Mytilus edulis: one gene and its partner. The protein of the gene in region 1 binds, or shares a complex with, the protein of each later gene. Links are inferred from orthologs where the notes say so. Each region holds a gene or a part of one and is shown in the gene's direction. Other genes may lie near its edges.

The links. Proteins that work in one complex are often made in the same cells at the same time.
Region 2: gamma-tubulin complex component 3 homolog (region 1) and nucleoside diphosphate kinase homolog 7-like share a complex: the UniProt entries of both Homo sapiens proteins name them as parts of the gamma-tubulin ring complex. The link is inferred for Mytilus edulis from reciprocal best matches to the Homo sapiens genes TUBGCP3 and NME7.

What each region holds. Positions count from the first base shown.
Region 1 is NC_092346.1:89,141,868-89,149,886, forward strand, and holds the start of gamma-tubulin complex component 3 homolog, read left to right. Parts: upstream 1-4,966; 5' UTR 4,967-4,973; coding exon 4,974-5,121; intron 5,122-8,019. Other genes in the region: phospholipid-transporting ATPase IF-like, read right to left, coding at 933-947. UniProt on the Homo sapiens protein: Component of the gamma-tubulin ring complex (gTuRC) which mediates microtubule nucleation.
Region 2 is NC_092346.1:81,916,438-81,924,077, forward strand, and holds the start of nucleoside diphosphate kinase homolog 7-like, read left to right. Parts: upstream 1-4,546; 5' UTR 4,547-4,664; coding exon 4,665-4,670; intron 4,671-5,695; coding exon 5,696-5,800; intron 5,801-6,262; coding exon 6,263-6,432; intron 6,433-6,778; coding exon 6,779-6,940; intron 6,941-7,640. UniProt on the Homo sapiens protein: Possesses an intrinsic kinase activity. Displays 3'-5' exonuclease activity with a preference for single-stranded DNA. Does not seem to have nucleoside diphosphate kinase activity.

The sequences.
Region 1 (8,019 bases):
TGTGATATAAAGCCTAACTAGTCGAGATATAATCAAACTTTTGGTGGGTTATCAACACAAAAAAAACAACATATCAAATCAAACTTTCTCTTCTTCATTCAATTATAAGCCAAGGAACAATCATTTTATAAATTGGGTATTGTGACTTTCAAATCATATACTTTTAATCCCTTTTGAGACATTTGTGAGATATTCAATTAAATGAAGATATATATATTCATCATTCAACACCACTAATGATGATTTGAGTGCAGTAAATAAGTTGATATGAGTTTGCAATTATATGAATTTTAATACTGCAGTCCGAGTTTGCTTTCAGTGGTATGAGTTGACATTGGTGCGAAGTTTGCAATTATGGTACAGGATAACTATACTTAACTCATTTACTGATGCATGTTGATAAGTTAGCAGAACCACAGCAACAGCATATATATTAATTATCTCTTGGTAACACAACACACCTTATACTGTACGTAACATGTCATACACACACATACATGTACCAATTGCTCATCATATACATAAATTTGTAATTTCACAGGCACTTGTTTCTATCCAGGGGAAGGTTGACTATCCATATATCGCCCACGGAAGTTCTATAATATACTGATAGTCAATCTTCCCATGGCACCACCGAGGAAAATTTGGAATCCTTGCAAAACAACTGATTATATATGGTATTGCGAAACAGGACTAGGGATCGGATAAGCCACCTGATTCGTAACTAACTAGCAATATTGTCTATGGATTCAAAATCAAAACATATAAATCAAAATATTACACTGAAAAGTATCCCATGTTTGAGAGATACATGTACCGGCAATAACTTATCTGGTGGACTTTTTTTTAGTTTTTCAGTTTTTCATATTTTGTGAATTTTCAAACTGTTCCAACTTCTAATTGTTCATAAATATAAACAGTGTGATACTTACAAAGCAATCATTCATTCTTTCACGTAACACCCGCACCCATGTAAAAACTTTACTGTCCAAATTTCAAATACACCTCTAGCCTACTTTGGGCTTTCCACTTCTAAAGGTAAACAACATATTTTTGTTACGTCCTGTTTTGCTTTCACTTCGTGTACAATTAGGTAGAAATATCTAGAGAACTTCCGAACGAACAGAGACGTCTGCTTTAGGGACCGTTTCAAAACACCGAGTATGCAGTATCCATCCAGGAATTGCATATTTAAATATACAATTCCTTTAAATAATTATACTCAAAATTATTAATTGCAAAACCCGTAAGAGAACATCTTGGATAACAGTTAAAAACCATCCATCCAGTTTCCGTAGGCCTAACCATACCAGATATATCAGAAATGAGTACACACAAAAAAAAACACAAAAAAACCTACCAGATACCATTACATGACAGAGGAAAATAGGGAAAATGGAAGAATTAAAGCAACAAAACCATCCTCCCCTCATTATTAGATATGTCAAAGAATCATCTTAATAAGTTTGAAAGGAAAGTGAGTCATCAGACAAGATGTGAAATCTGATTCCAGAAAAAGGTCGCGAACGGTATTATAAAAACAAAATACCTTATAAAACAACAAAGAGTATATGTGGATAACTGCGGCTAAATACTGAATTGTAACAACTTATAAAAAAGGGGGGATACTATGTGGTTATAAAAAAGAAGTCGAACACATCTTTCTATATCTATATATAAGCATTTTATCATAAAAAAAAAATCGAACTAAAATGCCCAAAAGGAGAGAGCTAGTATACAACAACTATTTTTTTTCACAAATGACATATGAACAGCAATTACGAACAATAAAATTACCAATTTTAACTGAAATCGCATGTCATCGTTTCTCACTTTTTTTTGCGATATTTTCATTTAATTTGGAAAATGGGGTGACACGCGGAACATTGATATTTACAGTTAATCAGAAAATCAGAAAATAGAAAATAAAAAATAGCAAAATAAGCAAATAAATGAAAGGAAATATGATTGAGCTCTATCCTTACCGGTAAGTATTAAGAGACGTATCCAATTATTTTTAGAACTAGAGAAAATTCAACAACAAGAGACCACAAATATATATAACTTGTACAAGACACACTCAAGACTTCAAATCAGACAAATATTCATACACACAAAGAGCTATTGAAACCTGTAACAACATACCATCCTCAGTTACTCGCACTTTTTATCAGATTATTTGAATGGTGGTTAGATAAGTCCTGAGAAACCAACCACGAAAATAAGACTATATACCCATGCAATTATTATGTATCATAACACGACCGGATACCATCGTCAAGCTGTATTTTATTTTAGAACCAGTTAATAAGTTATTCTCAGAAATTATAAGTGATTCCCATCTTCGAGGACGTGACATTATATAATCAATATTAACATCAAGACCGGACACGACCTTAATGTGTACAAATTTCAGACCGTCGAGGAGCTACATAAAAAATAAATTTTATTGATAATTAAGAACAGCTAACAATACTTTGATATGAATTATAAACAAAAACAAATGAAAGACGTCGAAAGACAAACTAGTTCACAAAACACTACATAGAAAAGTAAAGAAACTGGAACAATGCAAATGAGAAAAGAAAAAAAAACTGCTTGATATATTTTATTTTCGTTTAATTTTTGCACGTTTCAGACCAGGTCCCTAATATGTATTGGCAGCACAAACAAAACAAAAACTGTCAAATATCGTTTTATACAGGCTTCTAGTAAGTATTGTTTCTGCTTTGAATAAAAATTATATACTTACTATTTACCACAAAAACTACACTACACATGCATGCACAGAAACGACTGTCATTGTCTTTTTCTTGATTTAAATTACAGTTTCACACGTGAAACCATATACTTTACTTTTTACAAGAGACCCCTTTTCGTTCCCTATTGTTGATATCTTTTTTTTTATTGGGATGTTCCTCTTGAACCTTCGTACAGTGTGTATTTCTTTTCTGTCGACACGTTTGCGAAGTACGTTTTTTTCAATGATAAGCATATATTCTAAGTTAAAGCATTTTTAAAACTCCTGAGAAACAGACAAACCAGAGTGTTGGAAGCATGTGTATATTTGGCCGGTTGTTGGTCTCTTTGACCTATTTCCCAAAACAATTCAATCTGAAAAAAAACCCGGGCCACGGTCGAATGGGGAAAAGGGGGGGGGGGGGCAATTCCTTTTTATGTTAACTTGGCCAGTTTTGGTCTTTTTATGCCCCACCTACGATAGTAGAGGGGCATTATGTTTTCTGGTCTGTGCGTCCGTTCGTCCGTCCGTCCGTTCGTCCGTCTGTCCCGCTCCAGGTTAAAGTTTTTGGTCAAGGTAGTTTTTGATGAAGTTGAAGTCCAATCGACTTCAAACTTAGTACACATGTTCCCTATGATATGATCTTTCTAATTTTAATGCCAAATTAGAGTTTTTACCCCAATTTCACGGTCCACTGAACATGGAAAATGATAGTGCGAGTGGGGCATTCGTGTACTGAGGACACATTCTTGTTCAAGGCTGTGTTGTAAACTGTTATCTGAGATAAATTTAAACTGTTAAGCGTTTTCAACCCACTGTGTTAACTGTTATCGGCACTTTTGCATTTGTTGTTAACTGTTTTTCTCAAAATCGAGGTGTTGTTACAGGGGCGGATCCAGCAACTATATGTCCCCATCAAATGCATTGATCGTCCAAAAAAAAGGGATTCCAACCACCGGACCCCTCCCCCTGGATCCGCGCCTAAGTTAACATGTTAATGGATCCCATATTGCCCCCTCTATCTAATCTATATAAAAAGCAAGAAACGAGAAACAGTAAGTACCACATCAACAAACGACTACCAATGAACAATATGTAGATTCCTGCAATCGGATTTAGGACAGATACAAACAAATTCAGCGGGTTTAAACGTTTTTAAAAGCGCGAAACCTCACCCAACCTACAAAAAGTATGTATGTATGTATGTATGTATGTATGTATGTATGTATGTATGTATGTATGTATGTATGTATGTATGTATGTATGTATGTATGTATGTATGTATGTATGTATGTATGTATGTATGTATGTATGTATGTATGTATGTATGTATGTATGTATGTATGTATGTATGTATGTATGTATGTATGTATGTATGTATGTATGTATGTATGTATGTATGTATGTATGTATGTATGTATGTATGTATGTATGTATGTATGTATGTATGTATGTATGTATGTATGTATGTATGTATGTATGTATGTATGTATGTATGTATGTATGTATGTATGTATGTATGTATGTATGTATGTATGTATGTATGTACTGAGATTCCGCCAATTAAGACGCACCCCTTGATTGACTGCAAGGGTACAGCGGATCCATGTACACTCCCTAAGGATTAATGGAGATGTGTCCTTTACAATATTATCCCACCAGAACAATCCCCACCCAACACCGCCCAAGGGAGCGTGTAGGACACCGGGAAGTCTGTTATTATGATGGAGGAAGCCGAAGTACTCGGAGAGAACCACCGGGCCGCTCGGTGGAAACAGACAAACCAGAGAGATATCAGAAGATTGATCTCCAGGTCAAAGTAGGGAACAACTTTGACCAACCGAGGCCCCCAAAGTACCCATTCTAGTTTAAACTCCGGTCTGGGTACCAGAGATGTGTGTGAGAGGGTGAAAATTACCCTTCTGATGTACTGATATTTTTAGCACCCCGAGTGAGAATCGAACTCGGGACCTTCAGCACTGTAGCCATCGGTCTTAAAACCACTAGACCACGAACTCACATATAGAAATGTTCCTTTATATGAATACGGTTCATTTTGTATTTTGAGACCACCCCTTCACAATTTTTTCGGATAGTTTCGTATCATTATTTTGCTCACAATTTTCTATGATTCGTTGCTCATTTAAAAAGATTATTTTAAACAAATTTGGTGAAATTAAAATTTTCCTTTTTCTTTCTTTTCATTCGAAAATACAAAATAACTTTACATTTCATGCGCATTGCCCGTAGCGCGGCAAAACAATCCTCTTGCAAATGGTCAATATCTGGCACTTTTTGTGCTATGGATAGGAGGGGCACAAATGAAACTGAGACATTATTGTTACAGAAACTTTGTTGTAAAATAACAGGCCTTCCTGAGGGTAAATAAACATGTTCAGTGTTATCTTCAAAAGGTCTGGCATCAAACATCCTCAGACATGCACCAAATATTTTGTTATTGCATGAATGTGTGTCCACATTTTTGTCGTTATTGAAACTGTATTGATATAAATATATCGATAATATAAGGCAGGTGTTTAATATTTGTGAAAGAGTATTAGTATTTGATCGTGATTTTTGCAACATTAAAAATGCATTCAAATGTATGTTGATCCCTCAATTAATAATGAATTTATCTGAACACCCTCTTTATAGATCTGCAAGGGTACAGACTACAGTTCGTAGGTCCTTGTGATAATCATACTCCATGCAACGAAGTTGTGAAGGGTATAATGTTTTTGACCAGTCTGTCTGTCAGTCACCGACTCGGTCTGTCAGTCCTGTTTCTTGTCATTGCAACTCCTCTAAAACCACACATCAGAAATTCAGAATTTCTTGAAACCTTTTTAGATAATACATGTCATACATTTGTAAGTGTAAAGCAAAATATTGTCCTATGAAATATTGTACAAGACAATATTTCATAACTATGTATCATGAAATATTGTCCTCGTCTATGGAAAAATGTCCAGAGAAGGACAAATTTGCATAGTGAAATCCAGTGTTCCAGCTAGGTTTTCAAAAGGGCAGGGTGCCAATCCTGAAAAAGGGCATTTAACGCGCGATATCATAATATGAAAAGGGCATATTTTAATAAAAGATGTTAATCAAACATTTGTGTTTATTCGTTGAATCACAGGTTATACAAGAACAACATCTTTAGCCCATATAGAACTCTATCTTTCTACTTTTAAGGCTGAAAAACTTGTCAAGCAGCTTGTCACACAAGTTTTTTTTATCATTGCTTGGCACAGTTGAACTTTATATGCAGTATGTTTTGAAAGGAGATCTGTTTCATACTGTTTCTATGGTCTACCACATTTGACCAGTTTCACCTTTCTACCCCTGCTGTGCTTGATGGCAATACAGCACAAAACAGCTGTGCTCAGTAAATTCACAATTTAAGGATATAAAGCAACAGTGAAAAATAGTATCAAAAATAAAGAATACAGAAAAAGATGACCAAGGCACCCTACCAACACTGCTGCTAAGACCCTCTTTAACTTTTCCCATAACTCAAAATAAATACCTAAACATATATATTCTTAAGCAAGAAGTATGGAGACACATTTTAGAATATGTAAATGGGTTACTCAATGCTAGGAAAAAAATCAGATTGAGTTATCTTTCTTTATTCGGGTGTGCTCCTTCTTTGGAGGATTATAAACAGTACGTAAATATGATGTAAATATGATCACAATATGGCGGCCGATTTTGATATTTTCGTATCAAAAATGAAGGCAGTCAATGACAAATACGTCTGAATTTTCTGTTTATTTTACAGAAAACAAGTAAAACAATGTCTTCAACGAGTTTATAATGGTTTTCCAACTTTCTGTCATTACGTTTCTTCCATGAAACTACGGTAAACATCGCAAATTGTGCCCAAGTTGTTGTATGCACATTTCTTCAAAGATAATTGCCGACTGACCGATTCTATTTGAACGAATTAATCTTGATGATCATTAATGACCCATCCGATAAACGGATTACCTATAACAACAGATTATGACACCAGTTGTAACCATTGATTAGCTTGGGGTGGTAAACAAAGTCATAATCTTTTCCCCAGGTAAAATTTAGTAATTAGCGTAGCCCATCATATCAATATCAATGTGTGAATTAATACAATATTTCATAGATAAATACTACGAAATTGTGTCCTGTTAATGGGAGGTTATATATATTTTGGTTATATTTTATGAGTATTGAGACAATATTTCATAGACAGATTGTCATTAAATTTTGTCTCATGAAAGGGAGGTTATCAACATATATTTATGTTAGAGAAGGTAAATAGGATTTTTTTCTGCGACACATACCTGTGTTTATATTTACAAAATAAGCGATTGTCAGTACATAACTTATATTTGTACAGTTTAATGTAATAAAATGAAACTTTTGTTAGACAATACTTTAATCTATAATTAACCATTTGTAATGTACATGTATCTATGCAAATTTGAAACTCACTATTAACAATCATATAAATTCTCTACTATACAAAACAATTTCGGTTATAAATCTAAAAATGTGCATGCTCAATGTGAACTATTTCTAATTGTGAAATAATTTGATTAAAAAATATTTTCAAAGCCAGTATTTCATAGTGAAGTATTGTCATGAACAGAATTTCATAGTGAAATATTGTCCCGAAGGAGGTGACAAAATGTCATGGATAAGGACACTATTTCATAATGAAATATTGTGTCCAAGACAATATTTCATTATGAAATACTGTCAGTGGACAATATTTTATATGAAAATTTGTCCGACAGACAATATATCATGGAGGACAATATTTTATGTTACATAAGGACATAATAAGTAGATGTGCATATTGACAGGAAATTATGATTCAATTTTTTGCTAGGAGTTACACCCCTTTGAACTTATTTGCTTCAATATACTACACCAGTTTGTCATCGCAACTCTTCTGAAACCACTCAACAGAATTTCATGAAATCTTTTTAGATAATAAGGACATACTATATAGATGTGCATATCGACAGGAAATTACGATTAATTGTTTTCTAGGAGTTATGCCCCTTTGAATTTATTTGCTTCAATATACTACTGCAACAGTTTGTCATCGCAACTCCTCTGAAACCATGCAACAGAATTTCATGAAACTTTGTAGATAATAAGGACATACTATGTAGAAGGTAGGTCTTTCCACCACTGAACACCCCAGGATTTTTTTCTCTTTATCTTGTATCATTATAAATGTTACCTAAATATTATTTTTAAGTTATTAATTCAACAAATATTAAAAATAA
Region 2 (7,640 bases), about 7.2 Mb from region 1:
AAAATGTACATGTATACAAAATAAATGAAACAACCATCATTTACATGTCATGTATGTAAAACATGCAGCAATATTGCTTCTTAGAGCTCTCTTTTTGCTGCATGGACATGTGTGTCCACAACAGCTGTGCCTGAATGACACATATATGTCCATTTAAAATTTATGCAAGCTTCATGTAATCATTGCTTTATCTTTGACTTAAAAAAAATACCAACATGACCAAAGATAGTACAGTGTAATATTTTCTTTAATGTGTTTCCAATGTAACGACATTCAGGTGTCATATTTTGGGGTACATGACAACTTGTACTTTCAGCAACTTGTAATTTTTGAAATACTAAGGCTTTTCTACCTCAGGCATAGATTACCTTAGCTGGATTTGGCAAAACTTTTAGGAATTTTGGTCCTCAATGCTCTTCAACTTCGTACTTTATTTGGCCTTTTTTTACTTTTTTTGGATTCGAGCGTCACTGATGAGTCTTTTGAAGACGAAACGCGAGTCTGTCGTATACATGTATACAAAATTTAGTCCTGGTATCTATGATGAGTTTATTTGTACCCTTATTTAACCAACTCATACCCATGATTTATTTGATATTATTTACATCTATATACATACATGAAGTTCACAATGTATTGTAACTTTCTTTCATAAACATTGCATCATACTATATAGCAACATATGAATAAAAAACTTTCATTGCTAATTTGATGCGATCATAATTCTTTCAAATATATCAAAACAAATCAAATGCTAATCTTTAATCATTAGTCCTTATATTTTTTTATTATTTTAAATTGTTTAAACAGCAATTTATTTGATATGCATATTAAATAATTATGAGCACACAATATACTAATCTGTGGTCATTAGTGGATGGTAGACCTACAATAAGAGGATGGATTTGATTAAAGAAGAAAAAAACATAAAGAAGTATATGAAAACCAAAAATTGGTATTAATGCTGCACTTTGAACATCAAAATCTGTTGAGTTATACTTGAACAATCACCATCCTCACTGAAAAGAAAATGCATGGCTTAAACATTGTAAAAACCAAGCTTTGGGAAAAAATGTATAAACTACGATGAAATGTGTGATCTTCTTCATTTGCAATCATAGTTCGTTTGTATGCAAGAAGACGGTTATGTCTCATCAAGATGTTCTACAATGTGACACATTTGACAACTGGCAGCATCATCTTTGTGAAACAGGTATGTTGATTTATGTTAGTTTTATTTTTTGTAGAAATTAAGCCCACAGTTTAAACTTTAAACATGCTTTTATCACTGTAATTTTGCTGTTAATTTGCAATTAAACATGTACACTAATCTCACACAAGGACCGTTTCCTAAATGTATTATTGATGGTGAGATGTTTATAAATTATGATAGTATTGTATTGTAAAATAAATTTTGAAAGCGGATCACGAGTTAAACCAGGTAATATCGATGTAGAGACCAGAAAATCTTTGTATTGTGCTACCTGTAAATGTTAAAATTGAAAACGAGCCACCCTTGTCCTCCAATTTTATATGTGCTAGCTGTTGGTTTAAACTATTATAGGATTTAACACCTTTTAAAAGTAATTTATTGGTGTATAAACTCGACCAATTCAAGTTTATGCACCAATAAATTCCTTTAAAAAATGTTTAATCCTTACAATTCTTTAAAATTGGAGATATGTTTTTCCACACTTTTTACCTCTACCACACGTAAATTGTATATTTATGTCATTGAATAGGCCTGGTGCATGAATATATTTGCTGGTAAATGCAAAAATATGTCCTCAATGAAATTTCCTATCTGATAAAAAGTAAACTGCACAGACTCTTATTATCATTCAAACTAATGATTTTGTGTATTATTTCATTTAATGATATTAACGTGCAGTGAAAATAAATTTGTCAACATCTGTGTACCATCTTGTTTACATTGGTTAAGAAAAGAAGTTTGGTCAACTTTGTCTATCGAAAAATAATCAATGTCAAGATTAACTACCGGAAGTCCTCTCGACTAATCATATCAACCTGAGACTACTATAACACATATTAAAGTAGTCTCAGTATCAACGTATTCCCTAATATGCAGATCATATAAGAATTATTAACACAGATAAGTTCATAAAAATCATTTTAAATTTAGTGTGTACATCGAACATGGCGGCCATTGTGATTTCCGTGGTCACCATATTGGATGTACACACTGAATTTAAAGTTTTTATGAACTTATCTGTCTTCTGTAAATCATTGATGAGTTATAAAATACATCGATAATATACTATTATTTAATAATCAATGTTTAAAAGTCACCAATATGTGTTAATATGGGGACGAAGTCCCCAATAACAGTAGAAAATTCAATAAAAAAAAAATTCTGGAAAATTTCCCGAATTTTTCATTGTACTAATGAACTCAAAATCGTTCAAATTTTTTTTGTCGTGTTTTGAAATCCGGGACCTGCGCAGAAATGTACAATGTACTTCCTTTTTCCGGTCTCGTTTGTATGAAACTTTGAGTAAAATATATATTTATCAGTCTAGTATAAAATAGGAAGGAACGCGCAATACCAATTTCATTTTTAATAATTCCTTGATATGAAAAAACGTTACCTGATGATAGCGTTTCTTTGTTTACATTGCATATGACGTCATAATTTAAATAACGTCACAACTAAAATCCCTAACAACAGAACCAAAATCGGAAACGTTACGGTATTTACGTTTCTTTTTTTTTAACAAATTATTAGTTACAAAAAAATAATTCATACAGACTTCGTCCCCATTTACAGGTAATGCCTGCCTCATATTATTAAAATTTCAAGTGTTATTCGGTCATTACAAGTGTTATTCAGTCATTCGAGGTACCGTTGTTATTGAATGAATTACTCTATTTGGCAGCGCACATCAGCAGAATGTTACGAGTGCCAGGACTTTTCGGGTAACTATGCACATATGAACGATAACAACTTGTCTGTTTGTAATTTTCTGTGAACACGAAAATGACCGAAAAGTGTCAGTGATTTAATCCAGTGCTCTAGCTAGAAATCAAAAGGGGCAGGGTGCCAGTGGAGGGCAGGGCACTTTTTATGATAAGAAAAGGCACTGCTAATTTTTTTGTCTACGTTTCTGTGTGTATCACGAGTTAACCAATCTCTTTTTTTTTACTGTATTTGTTGTTTTTTTTAAATAAAAATGCATTTTAACTATAGTCTTTATTTCATTGTTTGTGTAGTTATGAATAATATAGTACATCTTCATCAACATATTATGTTTTTATAGTTTTTCACTCTACCCACTGTCAAAGAATATTTTTTTTTATCTGTATAAAAATTTTAGCTTTTTATACAAAAGATCTTTTATGTTTTTGTGTATTACTAATTTATCAATGTTTAGAACATGGATTGCTAAAAGTATAATTATCAAACAGAAATTGCAATATATTTTTTTTAATATGTTCAAAGACAGTTAATATCCTTAAGGTAACATTATTATGTTATTATATATTCAATTGGTTCTTTATTCCTTTTTTTGATACTAGATAATATTTTTAGAGCACAAATTTGTAATAAGCTAAAACAGGGGAAGTAACTCCAAAATTAATTTCCAACAGGTTTGCGTCAATTAAAAACTGTGCTTGTCGCTAACAAGTTGAGATGGAATGCATTTCTGTGAAGGCATAGTTTTATTTTGATGACTTAAATTCAATTCTAAAGTCATGAAAGTCTTCATTTATACACTCTTCCATTGTGACTTGGAAATCGAAAATGCAGACCCAAGCTAAACACACTCCTGACACATTCATCAAATGTATGACAAAAAGATACATTGTCCTAATTAAATTACCTAGATATTAACACCTTTGAAGTCTTTATCATTGTAATTGATTGTAATGACATGATTAACCTGGGGGCAATCACACAGGTGTCATATATGTAATTAACTTGGAGATCAGAAATCGATGAAACAAAAGGCAATTTTACCAAAACGGCACAAGAGAATTTTGGAAAAAGACGTCAGGGCAGAAGGGCGCGGATGAAGGCACCCAGGGCGCGGCTAGAGGGCATCCAGGGCTCGGCGCCCTTCTATTTTGGGCTAGCGAGACCACTGTAATCTATCACTTGCGAGGATCAACTGCCATTCCCCATATAGTAAACTGATTAACGAGTATTCTTATTGGCGGTAATTACGCAGATGAAACATTTGAAATTGTGTTGTAGTTATTCCTTTCAATATTTCTTCCATGGGGATTGGCCGTATCGACTTTGACTATTGAATTTTGGGCCTAGCGACTTGGTTTGTGGTCGGAACGACCGGAAACTGTAACATTGTCATGCATCACAGGCGCTTAGGATTTGGCTTATTTCTCTTTTTGTTTGCACTGAATATTCAATTTTCTGTTTTTAAACAGCATACCCTACATAGTTTGTCTAAGTACCTTCTTTTCAGGTTGAAAAACAGTAAACAATATTTTTTTCTGCCACCCAAAACATTACAACTTCCGGTTTCATTCAAAGGAAGTGTTCACGGTATCCAATCAGAAAACTCTTAACAAATCAGGTTTTAAAGTTTGTTGCCAACAACAACTTGTACGGACTGCAACACATTTTCAAATATTATTAAGGATCAACACCTCCTACCATAGCATATATACGTACCAGTGTCAACATGGGGGTAAGAGAAAATTTTAAAACGAAATCATCGAAAGAAATCAAATGATTAGATAATAATTTTATTAGTTTAATCATGTTTGAACAGGACCAGGCAAATGCAGGAGCTCTGAAAGCAAATATAGTTTGCTTGATTTGCTTTGGTGTGTACTGTATTTAAATATAGACAGGTGCTATCTGATAAACTCTTGATCATCTTGTCGCCCCACGTAAAATGACTCGTCACATGTAAAATGACTCTTCATGTGCTCACATCCCACATCGAATTCTAGTCAAATCGGCACCTGGTTAAATCAGCATCTGGTCAAATTGGCACCTAGTCAATTTGGCACCTGGTTAAATCGGCACCTGATATTGTAATTTTGGCACCCGTATTAGATATGTTTAATATATGTTTTTTTTCAGTATTTTAAGCAAAAAGATGTTTTAACCGATTTAACCAGGTGTCGATTTGACTTTTTCTATGGGTGCCGATTTGACTTGTACACCCACAACAATCATGACTGTGACTTTCAATAAAAATACACAAACATCGTAGAGAGACAAGAAACTAGAAATAGCAGATCATACAAATTGATTGACTACAAAACAGACATCCGAAAGAACCCTTTTTTTCCCAAATCAATAGTCCAGTGGAACCATCTGGACAAGGATATTGAATGCCCAAAGTCAGTTGAGGGTTTCAGGCCTGCCCTCCTAGAGTTGGACTAACCAACCAGCTCTCCTTCCAATGCGCATATATCCGTGATCGGATCCTGCACTGTGTAACATACATATACAGACAGAACAATCCAATTTTCCAGCCGAAAGTTGGGAGCGGAAAGTTGGTTGCATTCACCAGTTAAATCTAAAATCAGACCCTTCAAATTCTGAACATAATTCAGAACCAAATGACATTTTGGTAACAAGACAATATGAAATCTAGTCACGTTAACTTAGCACCTGGTATAATCAAAACCTGGATATAGTCAATTTAGCATCCCATAATTTATTAACCTTTATATCATGTATATTATATTGTTTATTTAGGAAGAAGACCGTTATTGTTTCATTGCTGAATGGTATGACCCACATGCAGCCTTCATACGCAGATATCAGTTTATGTATTATGTCAAAGATCAAACAGCAGAAATGGTAATACCATAAAAGGTCCATTACATTAAATGTTTTACCAGTTTGATAGCTGGAAATAATAAAATTTAAAATGAAAAGTTGTTTCTTAAATTCAATGATTTTTTTTAAGATTACAAAAAAGAATATGTTAAATTCAATTCATCATTTCTAGTGTTTAAAATCTTAATTTTCACAAGATAGAAATAAAATTCAAAGTAGACCAGCTGGTAGTTAGAGGGTAATATCAATTATGCCCATTAGCTATTACATTCTTATAAATTATTCATTGGGGACATCAACATTTATAATTCAACACAAATCTTTAGTGTTTATCCTGTAAAAAAATTCTCACACTTACAAATGTATAATATGATAAATTTAAATGTTACACCTAATAACTTGAATAATACATTTGATATGTTATGACAAAGTTTTATATCCATTTGCAATACATATATATATATATGATGTTATATCTTTCAGTTTGACATTAAAAATCACAGAGTATTTCTGAAGAAGACAAAAGTTAGTGACTGTTTACGGCTAGAAGATTTATATATTGGTAGTACAGTAAACATCTTGTCTAGACAGCTGAAATTTGTAGATTATGGAGATGATTACACTAGGACCAGATTTTCTCATAAAAAAGAAAGGTTTGTAGAAATAAAATTAGTATATAAAGCAGTTACTTATACTATATTTAACAGGAATACAGTTATTAATAGTCAAATTGTCATTAATAATCATAGTTTTCTTTGCATATTTCAATACTACTTTTCATATTCAAATTTTTAACTAATGTGAATTTCAGGATATACATGAAATAAAAAAAAATAAGATCTGTGCTGTATTGGATAATGAAGGATTGTGCGACATTACAATTTTTCAAACAACAAAATCCCAACATTGAAGTTTTGTTGTGCTGATTTTGAAATAAAATAAAGATCTGTATACATGCAGTTTACTTTCATGAGAGTTTGTGTTACTTTCTATTTGTAGAACTTTGGGTATCATAAAACCCGATTCCACAGCCAAAATGGGTCAAATATTAGATGTGATATATCAAAAAGGATTTATGATTACACAGTTAAAGATGTGTCAGCTGAATAGAAATGAAGCTTTCCAATTTTATCAAGAGCATCAGGGAAAACCATTTTTAGAGTGAGTACTAAAATTATCTGTGTGATTACCATTGTTGCAAATTAAGGTTACTTGAATATATAAAACTGGAAGTGAATCCTAAATCGTATACTGATTTTTTTACTGTTACAAATCTTTAATGATCACTATTTAAATTTAATTTGCACCTGAAAAATGTACTACCATAGATGAACTGTTATACCCCAGTAATACTTTTATTTCTCCATGAAAGAATTGATCTAGAACTTAAATTTACTTTTGTTTGGTAATGCTAATAATGCTAAAATTTAATCAATTGATGTAAATTAGATTTTTCATGAAAAATAAAGCATAAATAGAATTTGTTTTCAGAAGCAATTTAATAAACAAATGTTAAGAAAATATTGTACAAAGAACTCAATGTACCGAAGATGCTGAAATCAGCAAAGAAACCATGAAACAGACACGTATATGTTAAAAGAACACAACTGTTAAAGAAAATAAAATTTGAATAACAATTTTGTTAAACAATGAAACTTTTATCCACAAATAAAATGCAAGAGATCAAAGAAAGAGGAGTAAACAACTATAGGTTACCTTTTGGCCATCAACAATGATCATAGTGTTAAAGCTATTACAGGCCCTGGCAGGAAAAATGTGAAACAGTCTGAAAGAAAAAAAATTTAATAAAAATACATACTGGCAAACAGCAACCATTTAAGACAACCACTAAAATAACATG